Medicago truncatula: one gene and its partner. The protein of the gene in region 1 binds, or shares a complex with, the protein of each later gene. Links are inferred from orthologs where the notes say so. Each region holds a gene or a part of one and is shown in the gene's direction. Other genes may lie near its edges.

Region 1 (7,777 bases):
TATTTCTAGCGAGAAATAACCAGGCGAAAATTTCACGAAGCATGCACACCGTATGATTTTAATTTAGCTGGAAAAATGGGTGGTTTGATGGAAAAGTGAGACGCTACAGTAACAACACAACACAATACATTGCTCGGGATGTACTCGGGATGTTATTTCTCGCTAAAACAAGCATTACCCTAAGTATAATGAACAATCTCTTTTTTCTTGTGAACCTCTCCCTTGGGAAGTGGAACATACTCTTCAGCTTCAAGGTCAAACTCAGTAGCAAAAGCATCACTTCGGCCAACCCTTTTCACAGCCCCACTATTTGCCTCAATATATATAACATCCCTGACAGCTACCTGTATCAAAGCTGTAGAATGTTTGACACCAATATTTGTATAGATTTAAAATGACCTTTGAAAAAGAGAAAAGAATAACCTTTTCCTTGATCAAGGCATCATATATGGTGGGGTCCAACTTTAGTTGCTTGGTTCCTTTGACTGTCTTCAATCCAATTATCACATGGCTGATACTTTTACCATAATCTTCAGTTATACTCTCAGTTTCTTCAGGAGAGAGCTCGGTGACCTCGCCTTCATATACTTCCTTATTTTCCTTAATACGAAGACCGATAGCACGTCGAAAATTTTCCATAAGAACCCCGTTGAGTATACTTCGGAACCAACCATTGGGCAGAATGGAACCTTGGTCCCAAGCTCCTGACATATCCCAAGTGCTAATGCAGTCTTTCCGGTTCCCGGGGGCCCAGCGAGAAGGAGTGCCTTGCCAGCCATCTTCTTCTGGCGTATCATGTCGACCACAAGGCCACACGCTTCTCTTGCCTCAGCTTGTCCCACAAACCCAGAAGCAAAAGGCAATGCTTTTCCACTCACCTGAACAATGACCAAACCTTTGAGCATAGCAAGAAATAAGCAAAAGGGTATGGCTTCACACACAACAAACACAAAACGGAGAAAATAACTTATTAAATTGAGGAAGAGAAGAGAACGAACCTCAAGACCTAGGCCTTTAATGTGAGTGTGAGTAGCAACACGCTGTTTCTTTGTTGTCGACTGAACCTCTTCAATTTTCATCTTTGTAGTCAATCTTGGATAGCGGGATAGCCGTATGACAAATAGCGGTCACTGATATTTGATTATTTTTTTAACAAATTACATTAAACAAACTTGTATATAATTTTGACATGCATGGGGAGAGAGATTGAAGGGAGAAGAACATGACACAGATTGAGAATGAGAAGCAAAGCGGCAGCAATGTATATGAGGAAGAGGAAATGAAATAAGGCTAGGGTTTGAGTGTATATCACTTACAAATTGGACTAGGTATAATCCGAAAATGTCGTATAAAAAAGAGGGAAAAAAGGTGGACACACAACCAAAAATTATGTGCAGAAAGTGGCTAGGGTCCTATGTTTTAAGACTTCATAAAAATTGAGTGGGAGGTAGAAGTCAGTTTCTAGCATAATTAGCATGAAATGTAACAAAACTATGAATGCAATTAGAATCGGGGGACAATTCAACGTGAATATGCTTTTGATTAAAAAATAGGTCGGACGAACCTATTTTTTTTGTCCCTCTATTGCACAAAGTAATTCAAAATTTCATAGGATAGTTTGCCTATGATGGAAAATATTTAGGACTAAAACTTGATAAAAAATTTAGAGGAAATAAAAAGCAAAATTTGAAAATTGTATAAGGACAAAAAACTTATTTAACCCTAAATTAGAAAAGGTAAAAAGAAAAGGAAGGAATGTATGTCTCATGGTAAGTCCCAAATGGTAAAGGCGACGACGCCGCTCCACAAGGCAATAAAATATGAGACAACTCCAATGGAGATGCCACCAGTTACGATGGTGACATCAACACCAGATGCATTTGTTTATGACGATTACATGAGAATTATGCAAACAAGAAATACTTGCGTACAAAACGAATAATAACATGACAATCATTAACTTTTTAATAAAAATGTAAAATTAATATAATGAAAATCGGTTCTAATCTTATTTCTCTTGGTCACTTTGATAAAATCATTGTTTGCAATCAAGTCATGCGCTGACTACCAAACAACCCTTCTATCAACCCCCCTGGGAATCAATAGAGTTTGATTGAACGATAATTTCGTAGGCAGAGCATAACTTGATGTGCAAACAATAATATTTTTTCAACGGTAAAGAGAAAAATAAGGAGAACCGATTTCATTATCTTAACTTTACATTTTTATTAAAAAAATAATTAATGACTATATGTTATTTTTCATTAGTTATAAAACCATAACATGTTCGTTTGTACACAAGTATCTCTCTCAATAACTTAGTACTAAGATGCATTGAAAATCTCTCGTCACTATTTATATATCCAAATTTCGTAAAATAAAAAATACATAGTTGCAAAGATATATTACAAGTTTTTGCTTTGCGAATAAGAATTGACATTCTCATTGATCATGAAAATCTCTAAAGTCTGAGATGTGAATTTTCTTCTATAATTATCACCACAAAAACAATTTGTAAATCACAACACTCAATTTTAAAAATTATTAAATTCTAAAAACAAAAAAAAATTGTAAACTAAATTAATGCAATAGCTCTCAATTATAATGAAATTTCTGCTCATAGCTTGAAACAAAAGACAAAGTATCACAAAGCAAATATAACAGAGACACTTGTATATTACACATAACAGAGACGCATCGATACCAGGGGTGGACCCAGACATTCTACATTGTTGTGGCTAAAATTTCATGATGCAGATTATACTAACAACAAGAATTAACATTGTTTGATGCAATACAATTACAATAAAAATCGTCTACTATCCATTTGTTGAAAATGAGCTAAATGAGCTAAAATAACATCAATGCTAATTGTGAAAAGAACATTTTTTCTATATAAGTTATAACTTATAAGACGGTCATTTAGCCACAATTGTACACAGAAGTCACAATGCTCAATAAGCAATTATCATGTACAAGCAATTTTTCCAAACTCTATAACAATGAACTTAATTCTTTTTTTTGAACAAATTATATTATTAATAAAAAAAAAAACATATGGCATTTGGCGGTAGCAAAAAAGCTATGGCATATTTCCATGCATTCAGAAAAGCTATTAACGATTCTCAATCTCCAATTCTAAAACCCTAAAAAGTTTCTCAATTCTCAATTCTAAAACCCTAAAACAAGACATTGGTGAAGGAATGAGAAACTAGAGAATCAATTGGATTACCTTGACGTAGAGTGAGTGAGAACTGCGAGAGAGATGGTTGGTTTGAAGGTGATGCTGAGAGTGGAGAAGAGAGAGGCCTTGACGGGGTTTGTTTCTTGTTGTGAGAGAGAAGAAATAAAATTGATGTGTGTTGTGTTCTGGGTTCTCAGCGTATACACGGTGGGCACTTGGCTGTATACGGTGGGTCCGTTCCTGATTTATACCAGTATAAATTGTTTTTTTTTTTGAGGGAGCAGTATAAATGTTAACAATGTGAACATTTAATAGCGTCATCGTGAGTTTAAGAGTTGACACAGACAACACAGGATAATATACGTGAGGTTTAAACCTCAGCGGAAAAAAAAAATCTTTAATAGTAAATTTTTTATCTGTGGCAAAAAAAAAAACCTATAATAGTAAGTTTTTATTAAAATATGTGTGATCAATGTATTCACATGCATTCACTTATTAATAAGATCCTAATTAAAAAAATTAAGTTCCTTGGGCTCTAGTGATAAAGAGCTTATTCGAAGAACGTACCCGGGAATATCGGGTTCGATTCCTAGGAGAACAATATTTGACCAATGCACATGCCTCTACGCATTAGCCGAATTAGTCGTCCACCTTTGGTGGGTTGGAAACCGGTGCGAAAACCAAAAAAAAAAAATCCTAATTAAAAAAGGAAAATGATATCTTGGCTCATAATACATAGATTTAAAGCCAAATGTCGAAACTTAATTTTGAAAATTGTGCATTTAATGTCTTTTTTTAATCCTTAACTTGTGCCCTTAGGGCATAAGTTAGTATGACCCAATAAAAATATACATTAGGACATACATTCTTTAGAAGGTTAAATATGTTTTTGATCCCTATAAATATCTCAATTTTTTTTTCGTTTTAATCCCTATAAGAAATTTCTTCAACTTTTAATCCTTATTTTTAAGTTAATTTTTGTATTTTTTAATGACATTTTGCATAAATGTGTAGGAAATTGTAAAAATCTTTCCAAAAAAAATTAGAATTTTTTAACAAAATATAAATCATATATGAAAAATGTTAATATCAACATTAAAAGATTATTTTGACTAACAAAAATATACGATCAAAAACTATTAAAAATTTTGATGCATTACTTGTTCTTTATTTCAGGAACCAAAATTACTAGTAATCGGTAAATTTCATACGTATCACACACTCTTTCATAAAAAAAAATATATATCACACATAATAAAAGAATAGGTTAAATTGCACTCTTCGCCTCCTAAGTTTTAAAATGTTGCGATTTTGGCTCACTATTAAAAAAATTGCAAAAGTGACCCATATTTAAGGAAATATAATCTTTTGACCCTTTAACATAGGGGAAATATGATCTTTTGACTCCTTATCTTTTAAAAAGTTACGATTATAACCCCTATCTTGGAACACACGATATCTTCTCAATAATTTTGGGACGAAAGGAGTCTAAAAATTGCCATTTTTTTATCTTTGTTTTGACAAAAAATATTGCTATTTTTTTAGAAAAATGCAGTATAACTTCAAAAATAAAAATCCTTTTCACACAGGCACACATAAACCAACACATATATAAAACCTCCCATCTTTCCTCCTTCAAAACCCACTCACTCGTTACTCGTCGAATCAACTCGACTCAGAACTCAGAACCCTAATCATCACCGCCATGGATCCTCTCGAACCATTGATCGCACAAATCCAAGGTCTATCAAGCTCCTCCGCCGACATCGCTCGTCTTCATACCATCTTGAAACACTCCGATGAAACTCTCCGTTCCGATTCATCTCGTCTCTATCCAATTCTTCAACTCATTGATCCTTCCATTCATTCTCTCGGTTTTCTCTATCTTCTGTACGTATCACAATAATCTTATTCTTTCTTATAATCGCTTTTTAATTACTAGATTTTAGCTTCTTTTTTTGTTATTGTTGATTGAATGTTTAAACCCCATTCCTGGACTCTTAAGCCAAATATTCACTTTTATTTTGATGTTATTTTTTTATTTGAATTTATTACCAATCTATGAAGTACACACTGGATACGACCCTGACACGTTGACATGGATTCGACACTGACTGTAAAAGTGACTTAATTGAATATAATTACATGCGTCAGTGGTGTCGGACACCAGACATGCCTTCCATCGGAAATGTCGGTGCTACATAGTTCTCAATTTCTATTACCTTCTAATATTGCCATGACCTGTTTGGATGAATAAACAACTGAATGTCATATATAACACCACACTATACTGATACGACATTGAAACATACGATTACATTCAATTATGTCATTTTCTCAAATTATTTTGGGTATCAAAGTGTTAGTATCGAGTCCGGTGTCTGTGCTTCGTAAGTAAGCAATCCTTACTTTGCCTTCATTTTTTTATAATAGCAGAATAGAATCTCTTTTTTAATATATCTATATATTCTTAGATTTTAGGTATTGTTGTTGTTGTTGATTTAATGTTAAAACCCTAGTTTCTGGACTCTATAGAGTTTTTTTTTTTAATATTCAGCAGGTTGTTATTATTTGTTTAGAATTTAGACCCAATTAGATTAGCTTCTAGCTATGAAGCCACTAACGTGTACACCTCAGACGACACTAACACGTCAACACCGGTGATAATTTGTGTAAATGGCATAATTGATTCTAATCACATGTGTTAGTGTTGGACACCAACATGTGTTGCACACCGGACACGCCTCCAATATAGCTTATGAAAACATCTTTTAGAATATACAAAAACAATTCAACTTTATTTTATCTTTTGCTATAAAAATAGCTTATGTAGCTTATGCTTAAGCGCTTATCATGATAAGCGCTAAGGCTAAGCTGCAAATATGTTGTTTATCCAAACAGGCCCTTAGTCCTAATTTTTATTGGCTTCTAGTAAATGGCATTGTTTAGATAAACATCTTAATTAAGCAATTATAACATAAAACTTGTCATATAAATGCTTATGTATGAGTTATTTCTATAAAATAAAGATAAATTGTTTCCATATAAGGTATATGTGGTTTTCATAAGCTTAGCTTATGGAAATAAGATGAAAACAGCTAGCTTATATACATGTCATTATTGTTGTTGGATTAAATGTTAAACCCTAGTTGATGGACTCTAGAACCAAATATTCACTTTTTTGCTTAGGTGGTAATTATTTCCTTTGAATTTAGTCCCAATTTGGATAAACAACTTAATTATGCGCTTATAGCTTAAACAGTTATCATATAAAAATGCTTATGTATTAGCTATTTCTTTTACAAAAAATAAGATAAAACCGAATTGCTTTTATATAAGGTATAAGCTGTTTTCATGAATTGTCTTGGAGAGCTTATGGAGTAAGTTGAAAATAGCTTATGCATATGTTATAAGTTGTTTTCATAAGCTCTTTGAAACAGTCTAACAAGTGGTTATGTCAATAGGTAAACTTAAATAAGTCAATCAAACAGACATTTAGTATATAAGATTTGGATCATCTTAAGTGAGTTGAGAGTAAAGTAAGAAAATGAGCGCTTGTTATTTTAACACACTCGTAATTTGTGTTGCATGTGCATGTAATATGTAAAATTAACAATTGAATTCTTCATCAATGGTTGATATAATTACCTCAGACTCTAAATTGCTCACTTTAAAGGAGTTACATACTAGAATACAAGTGTTTCTGAATTGAAATAATCTGTAGTCTTTTATTTGTGATAAAGTATTGATAATCTATGAATCACATTTCACTGATACGTAGACACTGATCATAATTTGAGAAAAAGAAAGTGATTCAATGTAACCATATGCATCGGTGTCGTGCTGGTGTCGGACACCGGACATACCTTCATTATGAAGAGTGCTACAACTATAACTTTATAGGAGTGAATAGAGAAGCTAATTAAGGAACTTTCTGAAAAATTGAGATGCAGGGTAAAATTTGAACTTAGATAGGAGAAAGAAAAAGTTTTTTATTTTATTTTTATAACTGTTGATATATTTTTTTTCAGAAGTGCTTGCATTCGAGTTTATCTGAACTGTTCCTTAAATCTTGTTCACGTGCCTGTTTTGTTTGTTATGGAATAGTGAATTTATTTTTTCTGTTTTTATTTAATTGGAGACATACATTTATGGTTACAGAGATGCATTCTCAGCTGCTTCAGTTTCAAATCAGCAGCAAGCTGAAGAGGCAGTTCCGATCATAGCAAGATTCATCAATGCTTGCAGTGTGGAGCAGATTCGGTTGGCGCCAGAAAAATGTACTTGCTTTGTGTTGAAATATTGGGATTTCAATATTGCATTATTGAGCTTGTTTACTATTTACCCACAGAATAATGTTTCACCATCTTACCATAACATATACACCCTCCGGTCACTAATATAAGCAAAAAATTACATTTTAGATTCATTCATTTAATGATGTACATGGTCTTTATTATAGACCACATACATCATTAAATGAATGAACCTAAAATGTAGTTTTTTTGCTTATATTAGTGACCGGAGGGTGTACAAGTTTTAAGAACAAACAACTTGATGTGGAAAGATGCTGAAATATGGATGGATTATTTG
Region 2 (7,345 bases), on another chromosome or scaffold:
GTAGCATTGTGGCAATGGCAAGACATTCCAATAGCCTCATTATTGTGTGCTAGTATATTGTTTTTTTGGGACTAAAATGTGCTAGTTTATTGGCGTTGTTACACTCTCTTTTTTGTGTGCCGATGACTATAGTGAAGTATTTAATTTCAAGGGTTTACAACTTTACTTTGCATTTTTTTTTTATATGAAAAACATAGTGGAATAGGAATTGGGGAACCAAAAATACCAAGGTATTATTTGAGAGTGGAAAGGTTGATGTTGAGGACCCATCTTATATAGCAAAATAGTAAGAAATGATTAGAACGTGAAAATGAAATGATAAAATTGTTAGGCCCCACTTGATTTAGAAGCTGGATTCCAAGACCAGGGTACCAACCAACCACTGCACCATGTTATCAACAAATAACACCCTTTATCGCCCGCACAAGTTCAATAATGTCATTCTAATGGTTAAATTTTCTCTCCATTTTTTTAGCTGTTTTCCTTTAGAAATATGTACGTGAATGATGCAATTTTTATCTACTTCTTTTAGGTGTCTTTGAATTTAGATTCCCTATAGTCATGTGAGCACAATTTAGTGTGGGCGGGTTTTAGCATGGGGCAATTGTTAAATTGTTCCATCTTAAATCAATTTTGTTTTATTTGCTATTAATTGTACATTCTATAATTTTATATTTCAATTTATAGCTCTATTTAATTATAATATATCAATTTTAATTTAATAAGGACTAAAATATTTTGGAGAGACAAAAACATGTCATTTTTATAGAACTAAAAATAAAATTCGTTATAAACCAAAATTTTTAGTCCCCTTTTAATTAATATTAAAATTGTGTGCTGTGTTGTTTTAGAGGGACAAAAACATGTCATTTTGGGTGAGCTAATTTAGAGGGACAAAAATATGTCACTTTGACTTGGGATTTTGAAGTGTGTTTCTTCTCAAGGTCTCATGTTTGATTCTCCCTATGTCAATTTGAGTGGAGTAATTTAACTTCTTCAAAAAAATTCGCTATATTTATAAGGACCAAAAAATTATTCAATCCTTAATATTACAAAGTTTTGTTGTAGGGTTTAATATTACAAAGTTAGATACAAACTAAATTGATTTATTTATAAATAATGTAGTATATATATATATATATATATATATATATATTTATAACATATTTTTTTTATCCCAGAACTAATCAAGTCTATGTTTTCAAATTAAAAAAAAAAAAATATTAAGACTGTTTTCAAATTAAAAAGATTATTAAGAATGGGCCGGATGTATTAGATTTTTAAACGGGAGATTAAAAAATAACATATTCATAACTAAATTAATTTGAGTCAAATTATAATTGAATATGTTTTTTTTTCTTCAGCAAATATAAGGTTATACAAGTAATAGCAAATAAAACAAAATTGATCTAAGTTGGGATAATTTCACAATTGTCCCATGCTAAAACTCGCCTTTAGTGAGCTTATACCCTTAGATTAATCTTTTTCTTTCATATCTCTCTCTCAAAATCAATATCATAACAATAGAGTCTTCAAATCTTATTTCATATACATTGATACTATAAGATGTTGGATAAATTAAACTAAGCCCGTTTTATCTAACTTCAAAAATCAAGTTTAGAATATGTTTAAACGAAGCATACAAATGTCAAACGCTTCTGCCAACATGTTTAAACTTTTTAGGCCAAGAAAGTCTTCACCATGTGACTATCCTCTTTGTGGGGCACATGGGGTGATAATAATGGCATCATCCTTCTGCTAACGTGAACATACATTTTGATCCCCTCCTCATCTTCCTTTTTTATTTTAAGCAATGAAACTTTACTTTAAATATTTACTCCAATTTCCTGTTTTCTTTATGTTTCATGTTCTTGATATTAATCAGTATTGTTTTAATTAAGCATTGCATTACCAATAGATTAACAATTGATCATGAACTAAACTTCACAGGTCTCGGTGGATTGTGCTATAGTGATTAGTCCAAGAAAGCAATCTCTGACTTACAAGCAGTGTGGATTCGATGGACTGAGTGTTTAATGAAGAAGAATAGTGCATATAATTCTTGTTGACACTATCAATGTCCTTAATTTTCACTTGATTTCTCTCTCAACTCTCATTTCTTCAATTAATTTTAGGAAGAAATGAGTAGGAAAAAAATAGTTGATTAGAGGAAATATTGAATTTACAATGGCTATCAAAAAAGGAGTCTCAACAAATTGTTTAACTCCATAGTCATGGGTGTTTTTGTGGAAAATATATTAAATCAGGGCACTAAGCATTTTTCTCATAAGAATTTTTGCATAATCTTCTTTCTTATTTGGTTACTTCCATTGTAAGGAAGAAAAAAAAATCTGTTGACCAGTTTGCAAACTGTAAAGTTAATCCAATTAGTGGGTGAAGCATCTGGGTTGGCTTTTGTTAAAGCTCTCTCCCAACCCAAACCCCTTTCTATCTTCTAACCTTTTTGTTTCCTCATCTTAAATTGTCCCATTTCAAAAGAGCCTTGGAAGTTTTATCCATTTGATTATTAGAATTTAATGTAAATCATTTCTTTAATTTTTTGGGCTATAATGTGTTTTGATTAATATATGGTTTATTTGATTAGTTTATAAGTTACTTCATTTCATATGATAACTTGTACTTTATCACTTTTTCTTTTATTCTTACTCAATTTAATAAAATTATTCTATTATCACTTTTTTCCTAAGAGTCATGACACTCGTTATCTAGTATACTTTACTATGTTAATGTTTGATTGTGAGAATAAAGTGAGGATGGATGATGATGGTGGGAAGAAAGAAAAAGATGTCAAGGGGGAGTACATTAAATATATTGTTTGATGTGAATTAACGAGTGAAAGAGGAAAGAAAAAGAGATGTTGATATTATTTCTATTTTTTTCTTCATCCAATTGACCCGGCTAGTATATTTTTCCCGATCCACCGAATCTAATCCCTTTGTCATTCTCCCCATCTTTCTCTTGCAACTCTTAATATAGTTTTTATAAGTAAATGATGAAAAAAATATTTTGCTATGTGCTCTTGCAGCTCTACTTATAGTCCCTCCTTCATGAGAAATACTTAAATGAAATTGAGTTTTGCTGACATTATTTGTATTGTGTCACATTAGCGTGTGCTCCTTCATCACTCACACTCACCTTGCTCTGATAAGTTTCTCTAACATAGTTTGGTTGCATTACATCAAGACAACAACGACTCTTTCTTCGACATAGACACCCATGTTTTTTTTTTACGATTTCATCCATTATTGTTATTTGCACACATTCACAACTCGATATAAGAAACACGTGATTATGGAAATATATAAATTATATCGTTTTGTCTATCTAATTTACTTGTATATCAATAAATATTAAAGCAAAAGATTGGGTGCAGAGGGTTCACCTGCCGCAACATCCTAATCATATATAAGTAAAAGAAAATGAAAGTACAAAGAGAAGGTGTACAAAGAGCAAAACCCTCAAGGAAAATAAAAAGCAAGAGAAAGCTCAACTCTCCAATTGAAAACCTTTAAAAGTATTTTTGCCAAATCTGTTAGGGTAATTTTCTTATAATTTATATAGAGGAGTCGACTTCTCACTTGTTCTTACATTGTCATGTTTTTGGTTCTCTATGGCAACTTATCAGATCTTGGATTGGAGTGACTGGTGTTGATACATATAATGTCAGTGAGCACTTCTACCAATTCATTCATTATTCAGGTTATACAAAGGCGTGTCGCTCTTTTCTTCAATTATTATGGTTGTTGTGTGTTTGGTTGTTGTGAAATGAACGAAACAACAAATTGTTCAAAAACACTGCAACACCTATTGAGCAGTTGTTAGATAAAGTTAAATTTCATTCGTTGTGGTGGCTTAAAGCTAAAAAAACCACTTTTGTGTACGGTTCTCAAAATTGGTGGTCGAACCCTTTATATTGTTTGGGTATTGACCGACTTTTTCTTATAATTATACTTTGTGACAGTTTGTTTTTACCGGGTTGGAACATTTAGTACACCTTGTACTAAAGCGTTTCCATCGCTGAAGTTATAATATTTCATTTTGATTTTTCAAAAAAAAAAAAAAATTCTTATAATTTATGAGGGAGAGAGTAATCTACTACTACTATTTATTTTAATTTATACATTATCTTTTAAAATTTAAATAAAATAAATATTTTATCTTGGTACAAAATATTTATAGGATTTAAAAATTAGTTAAAAATATCTTGTATATAACTTACTTAAAAATAAATTTTAATAATTTTCTCATAAATACTTGGGCTTCCCTCTCGGGCCTATCTGGGCTTTTCTTTGAACGGAGAAAAACGACGTCGTTAGGATGAATGATAAACAAAGATCGCGCACATAGAAAAACCTTACTTGCTTGTAGTTTGGTCGGTTAATTTCATCTATCATCGCATCGAATTCAGGTATGAATGCAAAGTTTGGTTTTGTAGATTTTGTTTTCTCATGTCATTTTTTAGGGTATGATTTTAATTTTTCCCAATTCGATTATTTACACGGTTAGGGTTTTGATCTGAAACCAGTATCCGTGAAGAGAGAAGAACGTAATGGATTTATCAGCAGTGAAAACCGCATTGGAATCCAAATCTTACGACAAAATTGCTGATATCTGCGATAATCTCATGCTTCAGGTTCGTTTCTTTCACTCTCACTGTTTCCTTAGGGCTTTTTTTTTTTTTTTTTTTTTGTTTGTGTAATTCGTTGCTTACTTGATTGTTGATACTTACTCAGGTTGCTGCCGACGGTGTTGCGTTTCACGATGAATGGCCCTACTCCGTTCATCTTCTCGCTCATTTTTATGTTCATGACATGTAATCTATTTTCCCTCTTCTTAGTTTTATTATTCATCATGTATATAAATAAATAATGAAGATGGAAGTGTTATATGCTTCAAGTTAAATTAGTTTAATGTTGGATGATATATTGCTACTGTTATAATCTTTGTTTTATAGTAACTGACAATGTGCCGTTAGAATTGACTTATTTTAGTTTACCTACTTACATTGGCATTTGCCAGACTCGCCCGACACTTTTTGAGCTTATTTACTTACATAAGCTCTTGTGTGACTATTTGGTAGATTTATGGAAACAACCTATGACATGTCCATAAGTTGTTTTTAGTTTATTTCCATAAGCTGTTCAGGATTGCTTATTGAAAATAGCTTAGACATGTCTATAAGTTGTTTTCAGTTTATTTCCATAAGCTCTCCGGGATTGCTTATGAAATGAAATAGCTTATAGCTTATATGAAAATAGTTTGACTTTATTTTATGCTATAGAAACAGCTTTGCATAAGTATTTATATGAGAAGCACTAATGCTATAGAAGTTTATTTAAGTTGTTTATCCAAACAGGACCAGTATTTTGAAAGGGATGGAGTTGGTTATATGTTATGTTTTGTAACTTTTTAGATTTTAGGTTTTCTGTTTGCTGTTGTGATATTGCAGCAACAGTGCTCGTTTTCTATGGAAAACAATACCTTCCTCAATCAAAGAAAGCAACCCTGAAGTCAATGCTGTGTGGAAAATTGGTCAACAGCTTTGGTTAAGGAACTATGGTGGAGTGCATGAGGCGGTCCGTGGTTTTGAGTGGAGTCCAGAACTCCAATGCTTCATTTCTGCTTTCTCAGGCAAGCATTTAAGAATTTTTTTATTTTGTTTTGTTAGCAGAGCTTTGAAATTTATGTAGAAAGAAACTCTTTGATCTTCACTATATTTAAGGCATGATTCTGTTCAATTTATCTTCACTTTAAATATCTTAAAATTATAACTGTATAAGCTGTTACCATTTAACCATAGACCCCTAATTTATCTAAACGTATCCCTTGATTTTATTATAACCAATTATATCTTGTTAATTTTGACAATAGACTATTTTATCAAGAAAGTAAGTCATTTCTGTGTGGGACGATCACTAAAGCATGGATGTATTGATTATTGAATCTGTATTATTGTTGGTTGTTTACATTACTGTATTTAGTGTTCAAGATAGTGGCATGTTGCCATAGTATTGTTTGTTGTTTACATTACTGTATTTAGTGTTCAAGATAGTGGCATGTTACTATGGAGGGAAACAAGTGACTAAAAATTATCATTGGTTGTTTGCACTACTGCATATAGTGTTCAAGATAGTTACATGTTGCTTTAGCATGTTATGGATGGAAACATTGCAAAAAGATGAATTACTTTGATGGAAAAAGTGTAATATAGTTTGAACCTGGGAAGAACAGTGATTGATCACTTGTTTTTGGATGTTCTCTTCCCCTTTAAATATAACTAAAAAAGAATTTGATGAATAATGTAATTTCTTTGGCCAGCATGTAATGTTGACGAAGGTGCCACGGATCACATAAAATTTAGTAAACTAGTGATGTGCCACTTCTTCAATTGTTTTAATAAGTATGTTTCTTGCTTTTCAATTTATTTTCTAAGCAGTTTGACTGCAAAAGTCTTTTGCATCTATATGTTTTTTTTCTTCCAAATATGAGTTGTACAGTGCAAAAGTTAATATCACCAATATGCTTTTTCCAGAACTTTACACAAAGGAGATTTTTCAGCTTCTTGTATCTGCTTATTCTACAATAAGTGTTGAAGATGCTGCTTTATTTCTGGGAATGAGTGATGATGGTGCTACAAGCTGTAAGTAATTTTATGTTCATTTTTAAATCAAACAATGCATGTCTATTTGTTTTAGCACCTTTTGTATCATAACCAATGTTGTCCTGATATTTATTTTTACATTAAATAACATCTACAAGCAATCAATGCATTTATTATAACATGATTATGTTCAACATTATTTCTGCATGACTAGATGATACTCTTTAATGTTTGGCCCCTATCCTTTCTTGACGACCGTTGAACCGAAAATAGTCCTTTTAATCTTGCACTCGGATACACATTCAGTGAAAGTGGATTCCAATTCTCCTTGTTGTATTCCATGCCTCTACTGTCAATATATCTACTAACTAATTGGATTTTTAGTAGAGTGTAGAGTAGCGAATCAAAATTTTATGCTAAAATGTGATGGGCAATAAGAGAATCTTTAAAGGTTCCTCATGTACCATGTGATGTAATTAATGGAAGTCATATAGATATAGCCGAGAGTCCTGTTAGTGACATATATGTTGGATCTTTATTAGCGTAGCTTCTGCACTCAATCTTTAACCTCTTAAATGGTTTAATCTTATATTAGTGTCTCACTTTATTGGGTTTGGATTTAAGGTTTGTTTTTGGGTGTATTGACACTGTAGAAACTATGGTTTGGAAATGTATGTTTTTTAAAAGAGAGCAGTTGCTGAATTTGAGGCCAACTGTTTCTTG

The links.
Region 2: the proteins of COP9 signalosome complex subunit 3 (region 1) and COP9 signalosome complex subunit 8 are in contact, whole or in part, in a cryo-EM structure (PDB 9IS6), measured with the Arabidopsis thaliana proteins. The link is inferred for Medicago truncatula from reciprocal best matches to the Arabidopsis thaliana genes COP13 and COP9. Residues at the interface, in NP_568296.1 of Arabidopsis thaliana: Asp121, Leu123, Arg124, Pro128, Ala157, Lys158, Gly193, Leu194, Lys195, Lys332, Glu335, Met336, Leu339, Gln340, Ile342, Gln343, Ala349, Leu350, Ile351, Asn352, Gln353, Lys354, Asp377, Ile380, Gln381, Ile384, Lys388; in NP_193147.1 of Arabidopsis thaliana: Met26, Leu27, Ala30, Ser31, Gly33, Ile34, Glu35, Tyr36, Asp56, Phe60, Arg64, His89, Tyr91, Leu125, Ser128, Ala129, Tyr130, Ser131, Thr132, Ile133, Thr134, Asp137, Phe141, Met166, Arg187, Glu190, Tyr191, His194.

Annotation. Positions count from the first base shown.
Region 1 is NC_053047.1:8,387,630-8,395,406, reverse strand, and holds the start of COP9 signalosome complex subunit 3, read left to right. Parts: upstream 1-4,770; 5' UTR 4,771-4,889; coding exon 4,890-5,074; intron 5,075-7,345; coding exon 7,346-7,464; intron 7,465-7,777. UniProt on the Arabidopsis thaliana protein: Component of the COP9 signalosome complex (CSN), a complex involved in various cellular and developmental processes such as photomorphogenesis and auxin and jasmonate responses.
Region 2 is NC_053043.1:1,164,449-1,171,793, forward strand, and holds the start of COP9 signalosome complex subunit 8, read left to right. Parts: upstream 1-4,264; 5' UTR 4,265-4,429; intron 4,430-4,527; 5' UTR 4,528-4,570; coding exon 4,571-4,654; intron 4,655-4,754; coding exon 4,755-4,834; intron 4,835-5,470; coding exon 5,471-5,652; intron 5,653-6,553; coding exon 6,554-6,661; intron 6,662-7,345. Other genes in the region: uncharacterized protein, read left to right, coding at 1,951-2,037. UniProt on the Arabidopsis thaliana protein: Component of the COP9 signalosome complex (CSN), a complex involved in various cellular and developmental processes such as photomorphogenesis and auxin and jasmonate responses.